Linked DNA regions of Arabidopsis thaliana. The protein of the gene in region 1 interacts with the protein of each later gene in a pairwise test. Each region holds a gene or a part of one and is shown in the gene's direction. Other genes may lie near its edges. The genes, in order: ROL5 and AT4G35910.

What was found.
Region 2: the proteins of ROL5 (region 1) and AT4G35910 interact in a two-hybrid assay, tested with the Arabidopsis thaliana proteins (one study listed by BioGRID).

The regions. Positions count from the first base shown.
Region 1 is NC_003071.7:18,295,262-18,301,884, reverse strand, and holds ROL5 (repressor of lrx1), read left to right. Parts: upstream 1-1,580; 5' UTR 1,581-1,731; coding exon 1,732-1,827; intron 1,828-2,133; coding exon 2,134-2,248; intron 2,249-2,317; coding exon 2,318-2,460; intron 2,461-2,547; coding exon 2,548-2,667; intron 2,668-2,762; coding exon 2,763-2,875; intron 2,876-2,961; coding exon 2,962-3,054; intron 3,055-3,137; coding exon 3,138-3,178; intron 3,179-3,286; coding exon 3,287-3,353; intron 3,354-3,433; coding exon 3,434-3,545; intron 3,546-3,639; coding exon 3,640-3,807; 3' UTR 3,808-4,007; downstream 4,008-6,623. Other genes in the region: AT2G44280 (Major facilitator superfamily protein), read left to right, coding at 1-77, 147-322; AT2G44260 (DUF946 family protein (DUF946)), read right to left, coding at 4,146-5,897; AT2G44250 (tRNA-splicing ligase, putative (DUF239)), read right to left, coding at 6,471-6,623. UniProt on the Arabidopsis thaliana protein: Plays a central role in 2-thiolation of mcm(5)S(2)U at tRNA wobble positions of tRNA(Lys), tRNA(Glu) and tRNA(Gln). Directly binds tRNAs and probably acts by catalyzing adenylation of tRNAs, an intermediate required for 2-thiolation.
Region 2 is NC_003075.7:17,009,124-17,015,746, reverse strand, and holds the start of AT4G35910 (Adenine nucleotide alpha hydrolases-like superfamily protein), read left to right. Parts: upstream 1-4,104; 5' UTR 4,105-4,439; intron 4,440-4,709; 5' UTR 4,710-4,732; coding exon 4,733-5,028; intron 5,029-5,110; coding exon 5,111-5,459; intron 5,460-5,552; coding exon 5,553-5,639; intron 5,640-5,914; coding exon 5,915-6,036; intron 6,037-6,137; coding exon 6,138-6,216; intron 6,217-6,316; coding exon 6,317-6,623. Other genes in the region: MCA1 (PLAC8 family protein), read left to right, coding at 1,555-1,965, 2,044-2,456, 2,626-2,741, 2,872-2,943, 3,051-3,157, 3,412-3,505, 3,589-3,641. UniProt on the Arabidopsis thaliana protein: Plays a central role in 2-thiolation of mcm(5)S(2)U at tRNA wobble positions of tRNA(Lys), tRNA(Glu) and tRNA(Gln). May act by forming a heterodimer with NCS6/CTU1 that ligates sulfur from thiocarboxylated URM1 onto the uridine of tRNAs at wobble position.

The DNA.
Region 1 (6,623 bases):
TTTCGTTTGTGGGTCATTAAGCTTCTTAGACAAAATGTCATGTGGGCTTGCTTTATATGTTCTTCAGTCACATCAAGGTAAGTTTTTGTCTTTCTTTCTAATATTATCTTAAAATTGATGGAAGTCTAATTTGGAAAATGGTGCAGGCACTTCACCAAAGGTTGACGTAAACATCAAAGAATATTTTTACTTCTCGGTGACAAGATATGGGTTAGGACTTGTTCCAGCTGTATGCTCGCTTGTTGGAGTTGTTGTAACATATTTTATGGAACTCGATAGCACGATTCTAAAGCCTCTGTGTCAACCGCTACTACTAGAATGAACAGAAAGAAGAAACACAATGCTTATGATCTGGTAAACACATATAGCTCAAAACTTGGTTACTGTTTGACAGTAAATGTTTCAGTCTGCTAATTTTTTGTTCATAAGAATAGGTTTATATCACACTGCGACAGGCAAAACATTTGTACAAGAATTACTGAAAGTCATTAAAAATTAATGCAAGTTGATTTTTATTTTATGTTGTCTACTCTTTAATCGCTTCCTTCATTGAATCTTCCTTGTCTGAGACTCTGAAGATGAATAAAGATTGACTCTTTGTGATATCCTTGCAGAAAGAATCATGAATATTTCTGATTCTTACCCTTTGTTTTTGTTTTCATTAGAAATTTAGAACATAGATGATCGATGAACATATCCACGTGAGAATCAAAACTTAATCCAATCCATTAAATAGTTTCTCTATTCTACAGAGTCTGAGAAAGGAAATTTTTTGATTCACAAAGCAATTGATCAATGTTTATCTTTTATTTTTTGGTGTGGTGTAATGTTAAGTTCTTTCATTTGGTTATTCACATAAACATAGGAAAATATAATGGAGAACAATCAGAATTATGTCTTTTTAAGCAGTTACTCATGCAAACCTGTTTTGTGATCTTCCAGCTTATACTGGTTGATAAATGGAGGAAAGGTTTCAGTTTTTTTTTTCGCCGACTAGATCTAGCAATGATGATGCTCTCAGGGTCAGAGAGAAACATCTGATCCATTTTTAAGGGTCAAGCAGAGTAGCACATAACAAGTAGAGAAACAGAGCCGGTGAAAAACGGAGCACCTAGAGAAACAGAGCAAAAAGATAGCAGAGCACAGAAAACAGAGCTAGCAATGAAAAGAAAACAGAACACTCGAACAGAGCAATCAGATAAACAGAGCAAGTAAAGACATAGGACACAAAAAAAACAGAGGACAAGGAATAAAATGAGCCTGGATCACCAAGAATTGTTTGTCTCGGCTGATTCTTTCATCCTTGCAAATAAAACACAGCTGAGTAAACATCAAAACATCTATCTAAAGATCTCAAGTCCAAACATTTTGTTCAGATTCTTGTTGGAATAACTACCACCGCTGAAACTTTTGCGATGGACATGGAACTATGGAAGGCAAGTTTTTGGCAGTAAATTTACAAAGTAGAGACTTTAATACAAAATAACTGCGTCACTGTCTTTACTCTTTAGCTTAATCGATGGGACAAAGTCAAACTCTGCAACACTGAGTCACTCTGAATATACCTCCGCTTAAACGATGCCGTTTAAATCTAAAGTGCGAGTTCCGTCAAAGCCCATTTATGGCCCACACACAAGACGATGCCGTTTCACGCCGACACTTAGGTTTAGGTCGTTTTCCACCTCCGACTAGTAATCCCGGAAATCTTCTCCGCATGAGCTCCGGTGAAAAATGGAGGCCAAGAACAAGAAAGCAGTAGCCTCCCGTCTCTGCTGCTTATGCAACCTGAGACGTCCCGTCCTCAAAAGACCTAAAACCCTTCAACAGGTAACTTTTCAATTTTTTTTATTTCTCTTTTCTCGTAGAATCTCGTTGGGTTTTAGCTAACATATTAAGCAGAAGCTTGGAACACATTTCTATACTGTTAGTGTTAGGTTTGACTCTTTATGAATTGCATTGGTTTGGATTATGATCTCTATGTGGAATCAAATCAAAATAATCAATGTAGTTCGTCGGAGTTGGATCAATAGTGAAAGTAACGACAATCATTAGTTTTTCAGTCTATTGCTAGTTTCCAGAGTCTCTTATTTTTGTGTTATGTATGAGAAGTGATTGAGTATGTGTGTTTTAAAGATATGCAGAGAGTGCTTTTATGAGGTTTTTGAGGAGGAGATTCATCAAGTCATTGTTCAGAATCGTTTATTCAAATCTGGTGAACGTGTTGCTATAGGTGCCTCTGGTGGAAAAGGTGATTGCTTAGATTCTGATTGATCTTTTTCTTTAACATACTGTAACTTTTTAAGATTGTTTTGTGCAGATTCTACTGTTCTGGCATATGTGTTATCAGAACTAAACAGACGCCACAATTATGGGCTAGACCTCTTTCTCTTGTCCATAGATGAAGGGATTACGGGTTATCGTGATGATTCTCTTGAGACTGTTAAACGGAACGAAGTCCAAGTAAGCTTCTTTTTGAATTCTATGTGTGTTAAGTGATTGTTTTATGGCGGTTTTTAGTTTGATGGGTTCTTTATTTTTCTCTTCCAGTATGGTTTGCCTCTTAAGATTGTTTCATATAAAGATCTGTATGGATGGACAATGGATGAGATTGTGAAAATGATTGGTTTGAAGAACAATTGCACCTTTTGTGGTGTATTCCGTCGACAGGTAGGGAGCAGTGCCGTTTTCTTTTTGTTGTTCAACTTTCAGTTTGTCAATAACTCTGCATACCACCAACACTCTTGTGTTTAATTCATCTCAAGGCACTTGACCGAGGAGCTGCGTTATTGAAAGTAGAGAAGCTAGTCACTGGACATAATGCAGATGATATAGCAGAAACCGTTCTCTTGAACATATTGCGAGGGGATATTGCTAGGTAAGTATTTGTTGATGATTTGATGGAAAATGAAAAATCTGTCTCGTTCCTCAACTAATTGATATTTGTAACATTGGTAACTGTAGATTAAGTAGGTGCACATCGATTACTACTGGTGAAGATGGTCCCATTCCAAGATGTAAACCTTTCAAGTATACATACGAAAAGGAGATTGTCATATATCCTTCACTACATAATGCTTTTGTATATATCGCTTATACTTGTCAACAAAAGATATTGTGATACCTTAACGTAGCTTTACGTATGCTTATTTCAAGAAGCTGGATTACTTCTCCACTGAATGTAAGTGTACAATCATCGATTTTTTGTAGGTTTTATCTGTTCCTAAGTTATAGTTTCAGCCAATCTCTAGTTATTTTTATGGCTTATTTTTTTTTTTTGAGTTTGCAGGCATTTACTCTCCTAATGCATATCGTGGGTTTGCCCGTGAGTTCATCAAAGATTTGGAAAGAATAAGGTTCTTTCTCAACCCTTTTGTTTAGTATCCGCTAGAATGAAATAAGAAAACTAGAGATCTCTAACTTACACAAAGTGCAGGCCAAGGGCGATTCTGGACATCATAAAGTCTGGTGAAGATTTTAGAATTGCAACAACCACAAAGATGCCTGAGCAAGGGACGTGTGAGCGATGCGGGTATATTTCTAGCCAGGTGAGACCTCTCTTTTATCACATCAAGTAAATTGTTTTCCATAATTAGAGTTAGTATATAGTGTTTGATTGTTTGGATTACAAATGATATGCAGAAATGGTGTAAAGCTTGTGTTTTGCTGGAAGGACTGAACCGTGGTTTGCCTAAGATGGGTATTGGAAGACCTCGAGGCGTAAATGGTGATCATAATAAGGAAACAAAGAAGCCTGGATCTGTAGCAAAATCTATAGAGAGCAAACAATGTGGATCTCTGGATTTCTAAAATTTTGAGAAAAAAGCTACAAAATCGTATGAGTCATAGTGAATGATTTGATTATATAGAAAAAGAAAAGATTTTTTTTTTCCTTTCATAAACTTCTTGTAGAACTTAATTGTACTTTTGGTTTTCTTTTTTGGCTTATGATTGTATCTGAAGGGTTTAATTATGAATTTATGAAACAAATCTGTTCATAAGTTTCCAATAAAAATTTTTGTACTTAGCCACACAATGTTTATTTATTTACATATAAAACATAATAGTTTTACATTAAGGTCTATGAAGAATTTTATATACAAAGAATCAAACCAAACAAACAATCTAAAAGAAAAACCAACATTTCATCAACTTTCATCACCAGCCCAATTACTCTTGAGTTTAGGCCCAGTAGGCCCATCTTCACCATAAACTTCATCAGGAATCTTCTTCACAAATTTAACAAAAGCCTTTTTCAAAAGCCCAGGCAATATCCTCTCCACACTCTTAACTTCATCATCAACATTATAATCAATCTTCGGCCCCCACTTCCTGAAATACTTAACCCACGGCGGCTCCACCACTCCTCCGCCGTCATACTCCGCCGCAATCACCTCATACCCTAACCCCGTATCAAGCACCTTCTTACCTTTCCCCGTATCATTCCTAATCCCAACCCCATCGTCTCCTTGCAACACCAACCCAGGTTTCGGATACATCGCGTGTCCATGTAGCGATGCGTACGCCACAAACTTGTTATTTCCTCCGTCTTGGAACTCCAAATCGCAAGCATCGATCCAAATTCCACCACTATGCTGCGATAAGAACACTCTCCAAAGCTCTCCGGTGAAATTACTGATCCGTAGCGTCGTGTGTTCCCAATCTCCAATGTGTTCTCCGATTCTACCCAACGGTAGATTTACGAATTTGACCTTGGCTTTTGCTGGTCCATTGAAAGGGTAAAATATCCAGATTGATATATCTGTGAATGTTGCTCCGAGCATTGGTTTGATATGAAGGTACACTTTTGTGCTTTGTAAGTCTCCTTTTTTGACTCTCTCTTTACCATTTTTGTCTATAGGAAGATCTAGCCAGTATGATCCATCGTTTGATCCTCCTTGTGGAAGATTAGAACCGTTTGATTCGATAGGGATTGGTTTCGATTCTTCGCCTTTCTTGTATAGTAATGCTCCGTTGTTGAAGTACCAAGTGACAGAGGAAGGTAGATATTCTTCGTCTGGATGGAAATAGATACATGGAGAAAAAGTTTGGAACAATTCTTCGATTTGGGACCCATTTGGCATTGTAGAGAAGTCGAGTTTCGTGTTCTTTAAGCAAGATAATGATGGAGGCGAGGAGTTTTGGGTTTGCCATGTAAATGTACCTACATAGACTCCTGTAGCTTGTGTTCCTCTTGTGGTTGGTTTTAGATTTGAGATGTTGACTCCGTTTGTGCCCCATATCCATGTATCAGCTTCACATTGTTCGGTTAAATCTGATCGGATGCAGCGTAGTTTGTCTAGAGGTGGTTTTTGTGAGTAGTTTGTGACTATTAGGCCAACGGCTTGATATCCATCAGGAGGAACGGGTTGCCAGAAGTATCCGGTTCCGTCTTGTTTAATTTTGAGTGACTCGGTGTTTCCTACGAGGGTGTAATCTACTGGTGGTTTTAAGGTGTTGCTTGAGAGATCTCTAGCTGTGAGTACCCAACCGAAAAGATTACGGTTGTTTGGTTGAGCGTAGTAGCCAAGGATGGAGAAACCGGAAGGGATTGAGGATGGTTCAAAGAATGTAGCTCCGAGATTGTCTGGTCCTCCTTCATAAGTGGACCAAACTTTGTTGAATGTCGAAACTTGACTAACTTCGAGACCACCTCCTAAGTCAATGGTTCCTTTCGCAAAACCATCACCTGATGATGCAAGTGAAATCAAGATTATCAAAACTAATTGGGAGACAGAGAGAGAGAGAGAGATCAGTAAGAACCGATGATAATACAAACCTCGAGTAAAAGTAGGTAACGGTGAAGGAAACTTGAATGCAGCATCGACGGGAAGTGCTTTGGGAAGCTTCTTTGATACATCTTCATGAGATGGATCAGAGGTTGAAAGGCAGTTTCCCATTTTTGGGATAGCGGAACATAAACAGGAAGATTGATATTTAAACAGAGGAAACTTGTTTGTTTTTTTCGTTTTTTGTTAAAACAGAGGAAACTTGTAGTCATGGGTTATATAGAAATGCAGTATCTTGGTGTCAATTACTTTACTCATCAAGAATATAGAAATAAGAAAGAGAGGATAAGTGTAAAGCATATTCTTCTCTGTGAATGACAAAAACGCAAATTTAAACGTATAAGTCAAAGCTGATCGATCTAACGGAAGGTGTCGTGCAAGGTTTTTTTCTACATATGCATAAAATTTTATCATATCCTTCTATCTTCTTTTTTTCTGCAAGTTACAAATCGTGCAAGGTATCACTTGATAAGTAAATTAGTGACACCGACTTGTTACGTTTTATGACCTAACAAGAAAAATGTGTTGCTTATTAAAATATTGATATGATCTTTTTTGTTTTATCTCAAATGCAAAACCATTTATTAGTCTTAAAAAGTTTACATCTTTAGAACGCTATTCAGTTCAATCACAAGGGTTGTCCCAAACATTTTCTAAATAAATTTCGAAAAATCATGTCACTTTTCATAGGCATTGAGGGTTACGTCCAGGTCCACCATAGAAAATGTAAGTTCCCCATCTTCGGCTAGAGCCAACCTTGAGGTTATAGCATTCAGGCCGAGTAACAGAAGCTTCAAGATTTTGAGGAAAGGGTTTGATCGGATGATTAGATTTATC
Region 2 (6,623 bases), on another chromosome or scaffold:
CTCAGTGGTCACACGGATATACATAAACTTTAGATTTTAGCCATTGGAATTGTTCATATATACATATACAACTTAAAACAAATATCAATATTTGACGTCGTTGCGCCTTATATTACGACGAAAAAATTACATTATTCGTTTCAAACGAAGTCATTTTATGCCGACAACCAATAAAAAGACAACAAAGTCACATTTTTAAAATTTTTGTAAGACAATACTTAACAGGAAAGTGATAATCTCAACGGCTTTTTATAATCTCAAACTCCAATATATTATTAAGGTATCATTAGTCCTACACAAAGGTTATTTATTTAGCAATGTCACGTATACCCATCAACGTGTAACAAACTACATTAACTACTTGTAGCTAGAATTTATGAAACTTTATGGTTAATAAATAAAAACAGAAAAGTCACCAGGGGCACATTGGTAATTAGAGAGAGTTTTGCTGGGCCTATGGGTAAAAATACATGGAGAAAAAAGCAGGATGGGGGGGCTCTTGAGCTCCGACGAGTGGCAAGTGAAGAAGGTGTGGGAGAAAGAAAGCTAATGAGAGAAATACATAAATCGACAAAAACAAACCGTCTTCTCATCTCTGCCTCTGGATTTAACTCTCCCTTCACAGTTGCATAGAATCTTCTTCTCTGCTCATATTTTGAAGAAATCTCCAGGTGGTTTTGCATTTTCCTGGAAACGTATCTCTGTAATTCCTAGACTTGAGTAGTGTTCTTCTTCTTCTTCAAGCATTTTCCATTTTTTTTTTGGGTAATTTTGTTATAGTATATAGAAATCCGTGAAGAGAAAAAGTATATCGGTTGTCTTCTTCATTGCCATCATGTGAGCATTCCAATATTGTTTCCTCTCTCTCTCTCCATTTTTTTAATTTACTTAAAAGTTTTCTGTGATTTTCAATGTCTTTTTTCTTCCACTTGACTTGACTCTCGGCGGAGGAGTTTGTCGCCGGCGAATTGTTCAAATCGTCGGAGGTTGAAACTGTTCATATTTGTGCTACTTTTACTTTCTGGTCTTTGAATTTTACTCTTTCGCTTTCGTCAGCTTCAAGTCTTTCAAAGACAAATCATCTTTAGGGATTTTCTTAAAAAAAATTTGTTTGCTTTATTGGTGTTGAAGATCTTTGACGTAGAAAGCCTATAGACCTGGAGAATCTCTTTGATTGGTATCTTATGGACTCTCTTTTTCTCTTTGTTGCTTTTGTTGTCGCAGTCGAAGAAACTGCTCCCTCTTTTAGTCAATTCTCGCTTCACTCCCTCAATATAATGCGATTTCTCAACCGGAATATCTGAATCTCTCGGTGGTTACCTCTGATATATCGCCAGGAACTGAACTCCTACTCGATCTCTATCAACAATGCCGTCCTTGTAGAACTTTGGATCCAACTCTCTGATTCCGTCAATTTCCATTAATATCAGCTCAGCGAAGGTAAAATTTCCAACAATCTCGATAATTCCATGTTTTTGGATCTTCAAGTTATGTTTCCTGTGCATAATGATGATTCGGTTTCTATCGACCAGGAACTTTGAGTAGAAGAAGATAATGTCACATTCATGGGATGGTCTTGGGGAGATTGCGTCAGTGGCTCAGCTGACTGGTTTAGATGCGGTCAAGTTGATTGGTCTCATAGTCAAAGCTGCGAATACTGCTTGGATGCATAAGAAGAATTGTCGTCAATTCGCTCAACATCTCAAACTCATTGGGAATTTGCTTGAACAGCTGAAGATCTCTGAGATGAAGAAGTATCCTGAGACTCGAGAGCCTCTCGAAGGGCTTGAGGATGCTTTGAGAAGGTCTTACCTTCTGGTCAATAGCTGTAGAGACCGGAGCTATCTTTACTTGTTGGCTATGGGTTGGAACATTGTTTACCAGTTCAGGAAACATCAGGATGAGATTGATCGTTTTCTTAAGATCATACCTCTCATCACTTTGGTCGATAACGCTCGCATTCGGGTAATTTTACCTGCATTTTGGTCTAACAAGTTTCTCTGCTTGATGTTATGGTATATTGAAATTTTGATTGTTATACAGGAGAGGTTTGAGTATATTGACCGTGATCAGCGTGAGTACACTCTGGATGAAGAGGATAGACATGTGCAAGATGTTATTTTGAAACAAGAATCCACCAGAGAAGCAGCATCAGTACTGAAGAAGACTCTCTCTTGCTCATACCCTAACTTGCGTTTCTGTGAAGCTCTCAAAACAGAAAACGAGAAACTGCAGATCGAACTTCAGCGGTCGCAGGAGCATTATGATGTGGCTCAGTGTGAAGTCATTCAGCGTTTAATTGGTGTTACACAAGCTGCTGCTGCTGTTGAACCTGACTCTGAGAAGGAGCTGACAAAGAAAGCTTCCAAAAAATCTGAACGTAGCTCAAGCATGAAGACGGAATATTCGTATGACGAAGATTCTCCCAAGAAAAGCAGTACTCGTGCAGCTTCGAGGTTAGAATCTCATGTTTGTTCTAAAGATCCAAATTTCCTTACAAGTTTAAGAAAGTATAATCTTCAATTCTTTGCTGTGACTGTAATGCTTTTAGGTCTGTTTTCATGTTTGAAGGCTAAGATTTGGTACAATGTTCTATAACATCGGTTACACAATTGTTCCATGCAGATCCACTTCTAATGTTTCATCTGGGCATGATCTGCTTTCACGAAGAGCATCACAGGCACAACACCATGAAGAATGGCATACCGACTTACTAGCTTGTTGCTCGGAACCTTCTCTTTGTAAGACCACACTATTTGTTTACAATGTGGCTCCACTTTGTTTTCTCTGTTACATAGATGATTAGCGTTTCACATTCTATACTTCCTTGTTATCTGCAAAGTTCTCAAAGATTCAATGATGGAACCGCAGGCTTCAAGACATTCTTTTTCCCGTGTGGTACTTTGGCAAAGATTGCCACTGCAGCATCCAACAGGCACATCTGTAAGGGATATTATTGAATACCGTGACTTTATTAATTTTCAATCTTTTAGTAATACATGTGAAAGCTAATAAGTCAACTGGATTTTTTTTAATTTTCGCTCTCCCAGCTTCAGCTGAAGCATGTAATGAGCTAATGGCGTATTCTTTGATACTTTCTTGTTGCTGCTATACTTGTTGCGTGAGGAGGAAACTCCGGAAGACACTGAACATCACGGTATTACATTCTCATTCTCTTCCACTCGCTTGAATCCTTACCATTAATCCCATTTGATCCCAAAAATCTATATGCTTCCGAGAAAATTTCTATCATTTGCATACCATAAACAACAAATGAAATTTCGGTTAAAGATTAAGTAGACACCTGCAAAAAAATTCAGTAGTAACTATCATGGTTGAGATTGAAATGGCTATGTTTATGCCACTCAATGTAGAGTCGGAATGAATGCTTAATGTTTTCTGATTTCGCAGGGAGGATTCATTGACGATTTTCTATCTCATGTAATGTGTTGTTGCTGTGCCCTTGTACAAGAACTGAGAGAAGTTGAGATTCGTGGGGCATATGGTATGATTTACATACAAACATATTATCAATATTTGTTTCAATCTTGAAGCACTAACAAAGATCTGTCTCTCATATCTTTGCAGGTACGGAGAAGACGAAAATAAGCCCGCCTTCGTCGCAGTTCATGGAACATTGAAATCTTCTATTATACAAAAGGTGAACAAAAACAACGATTTGTTGTAACTCTGGATACGAGACGAGATTCTTCTTCGTACTACTCACTTAATATTATTGTGTTAAATCGTGGAGTCGTATGTAAATTAGTTTGGGATTCTCATCTTAATTTCAGCAATTTGTGTTGTGTGTATCACATATAGACTAACTAATTCTTATTTCAACCTTTTATCACAAGATAGGGTATTAGGTTTACCGGATGGCCAATTGAACCAAACTTGTGTTTTGGGTCAAAATAGTAGTTTTCTTTTATGAATCAAGGAGAACATATACAATTTGCTGGTGGGTGAATATTAATATTACAATAGCAAATTAAGGAAAATTCTTTGAAGAAGAAAAGAGATGAAGAAATGCATGTGAGGTATCATTACCATGACTAAAAAGCCTAAAACATTGACAAAATTGATATGACTGATGATGATTCTCTTCTATTGCTCCCAAATTGGACAAAACTTGTCGGTTCCTTTTAATGGATGGTTACATGTTTACGGTTTAGCATCTTTTAAATACTTATCAAACCATAATTTCTTTACTAATCGTCTCACCGGTATGGGTAGACTCGTAAATAACCACTTTCATCTTCTTCCCCAATTTTTCTTGCTTTCTCTAAACCCTAGTTTCAGACAAAGTAGTGACATTTTTCTAACAATTAAACCAATATCGCCGTAGTCAACCACCGCATAACGTTTTGGCGCCGCCTGAGGCTGACCTGGGGCTGCTAAAGATTTTATCGCGACGACTCTCTTTCTCTCTCAAACTGGTAACTAATCACTTATTTGCTTGTTTCGATTTTGAATGTGCACACATCGCTATCTATTCAATATATTCGCTTTATAGCAAGACTTAGCAATATACAGTGTAATAGGATTGATTATATACTGATTGAGTAAAAAAGACTAATGATTTCGTTTAGAGTAACAATCTCTTAATTATCTCGTTAATGGCGGAAAGTAGTTAAGTCTCGTGAATTAGATGTTGATAGCATTGTCTACTCCTTTGTGTTGTAATTCCTAATCTAAATTTTCCACAGTTTCAGCTGCTTGCGAATTGGAAATGGCTTGTAATTCCTCAGGCTGTGAGTCAGGTTGCTATGACCGTGAGAAAGATAATGGAAGTAAGATAGTGGATGATGCAGTATCTGGTGGCGGTAATCATGAGAGTGTCTGCGTCAAGTGTAAATGCAATGCGCCTATGACATTTGGTGACGGTGGCTTCGACGATGGAAGATTCTGCGCAGATTGTTTTAGGAACAATGTCTTTGGGAAATTCCGTCTTGCTGTTACTTCTCATGCTATGATCACTCCTTCAGATAACGTCCTTGTTGCTTTCTCTGGCGGATCATCTTCCAGGTTTTGCTCTCTTTTTTTCCTTTAGTTTCTGTTTTTTGATATGTTATTGATTGGTGTCTAAACGTAGCAAGTATGATGTTAGGGTTTCTCTTCAATTTGTGCACGAGTTGCAAATCAAGGCTTTGAAGAATTACGAGGCGAGTCGAGATAGATCTTTACCTGTGTTTGGTGTTGGTGTTGCTTTTGTGGATGAAACTGCAGCTTTTCCTGCTCTTTCCACTGAAATGATTGATGCAATTGAGTGGGTTCGATATACTGTCTCGTGTTTGTCTCCACCTGCTAAGGATCTCCATGTTGTTCCAGTCGAAAGCATATTTGGTTCAGACTCTCTTGACGCACGGGATAGACTTCTGAAGCTATTAGATTCTGTTCCTGACGATACTGGAAAAGAAGACCTTCTGCTGCATCTGAAAATGTTATCTTTGCAAAAGGTTTGGACATTATATTGCTTTTGTTTCTGTCTGGGAAAGAAATTCAGATTTGGAAATATCTTTTGTTTAATGTTGTTTGATAAACCTTTTTAGGTTGCCGCTGAAAATGGGTACAATAGATTAGTGTTGGGATCATGCACGTCGAGAATTGCTTCCCATGTTCTTACGGCTACTGTCAAGGTGTGTTGCTTAGTGCCCTGACTTGACTCGTGTTTCCTCTGGCTTAGTTATTCTATAGATTGCATCTTAGAGTGAGAACTTCATGCCAGAAAGCAATCAATGGCTACCTTAAAGAATGTAGATATTTTGGACTTAACCAATTACATCTCTAAAAATTGAAGTTTTGGTGTAAAGATTTTATTTCAGTACACAATGTTTTGTGTACTTTATTTGGACATTCCCTTTAGACTATGTTCTATCAGAATTGTGAGTTGAATTGCTTTTTCTTGAAACAGGGACGAGGTTATTCACTATCAGCAGATATTCAGCATGTTGATGCTAGATGGAAGGTTCCCATTGTACTTCCACTTCGAGATTGTGTTCGACTGGAAATAACTAGACTCTGCCTTTTGGATGGGTTCGTTTATTGGCTGCCTAGTCTACATTGTATTGTTATAGTGAACCTTATTCTTGCATAATCCAACTATTGAGTGACGTCACATATTCTGGGCAGGGCAGACTTAAGACTGTGGAGTTGGCTTGTCGTTCTCAATGCGGAATCAATGATTTGGTGTCTTCATTTGTCGCTCTGTTGCAGGTTCAGATAATGTTCATCTTCTGCATATGTTTAAGTGCATGCATGGTTACCTGTTACTTTGTTTTTACTGATTCATTTGTCTCTGGGTTCTGTTGTGCAGGAAGAAAATCCTTCCCGGGAATGCACAATTGTACGGACAGCTGCGAAGCTGACTCCATTTTACTTCAATAAAATTCCGGAAACAGACGACTCTAATGTACCTATGGCCACTCAGAGGCGCCTAAAGAGATTCAATCTCAAATATGATGGATCAATGACTACTGAAGCTTTCTGTCCTATCTGCAATGGCCCGCTAAATAGATCAGACTCATCAGAGTTGGATACTTTTGAAGAAGGCCAGGAATCTGATGTCCTCTATGCTGCTTGCTGTTCAAGTTGCCGGTTTCAAATACTTCCACAGGATGGAT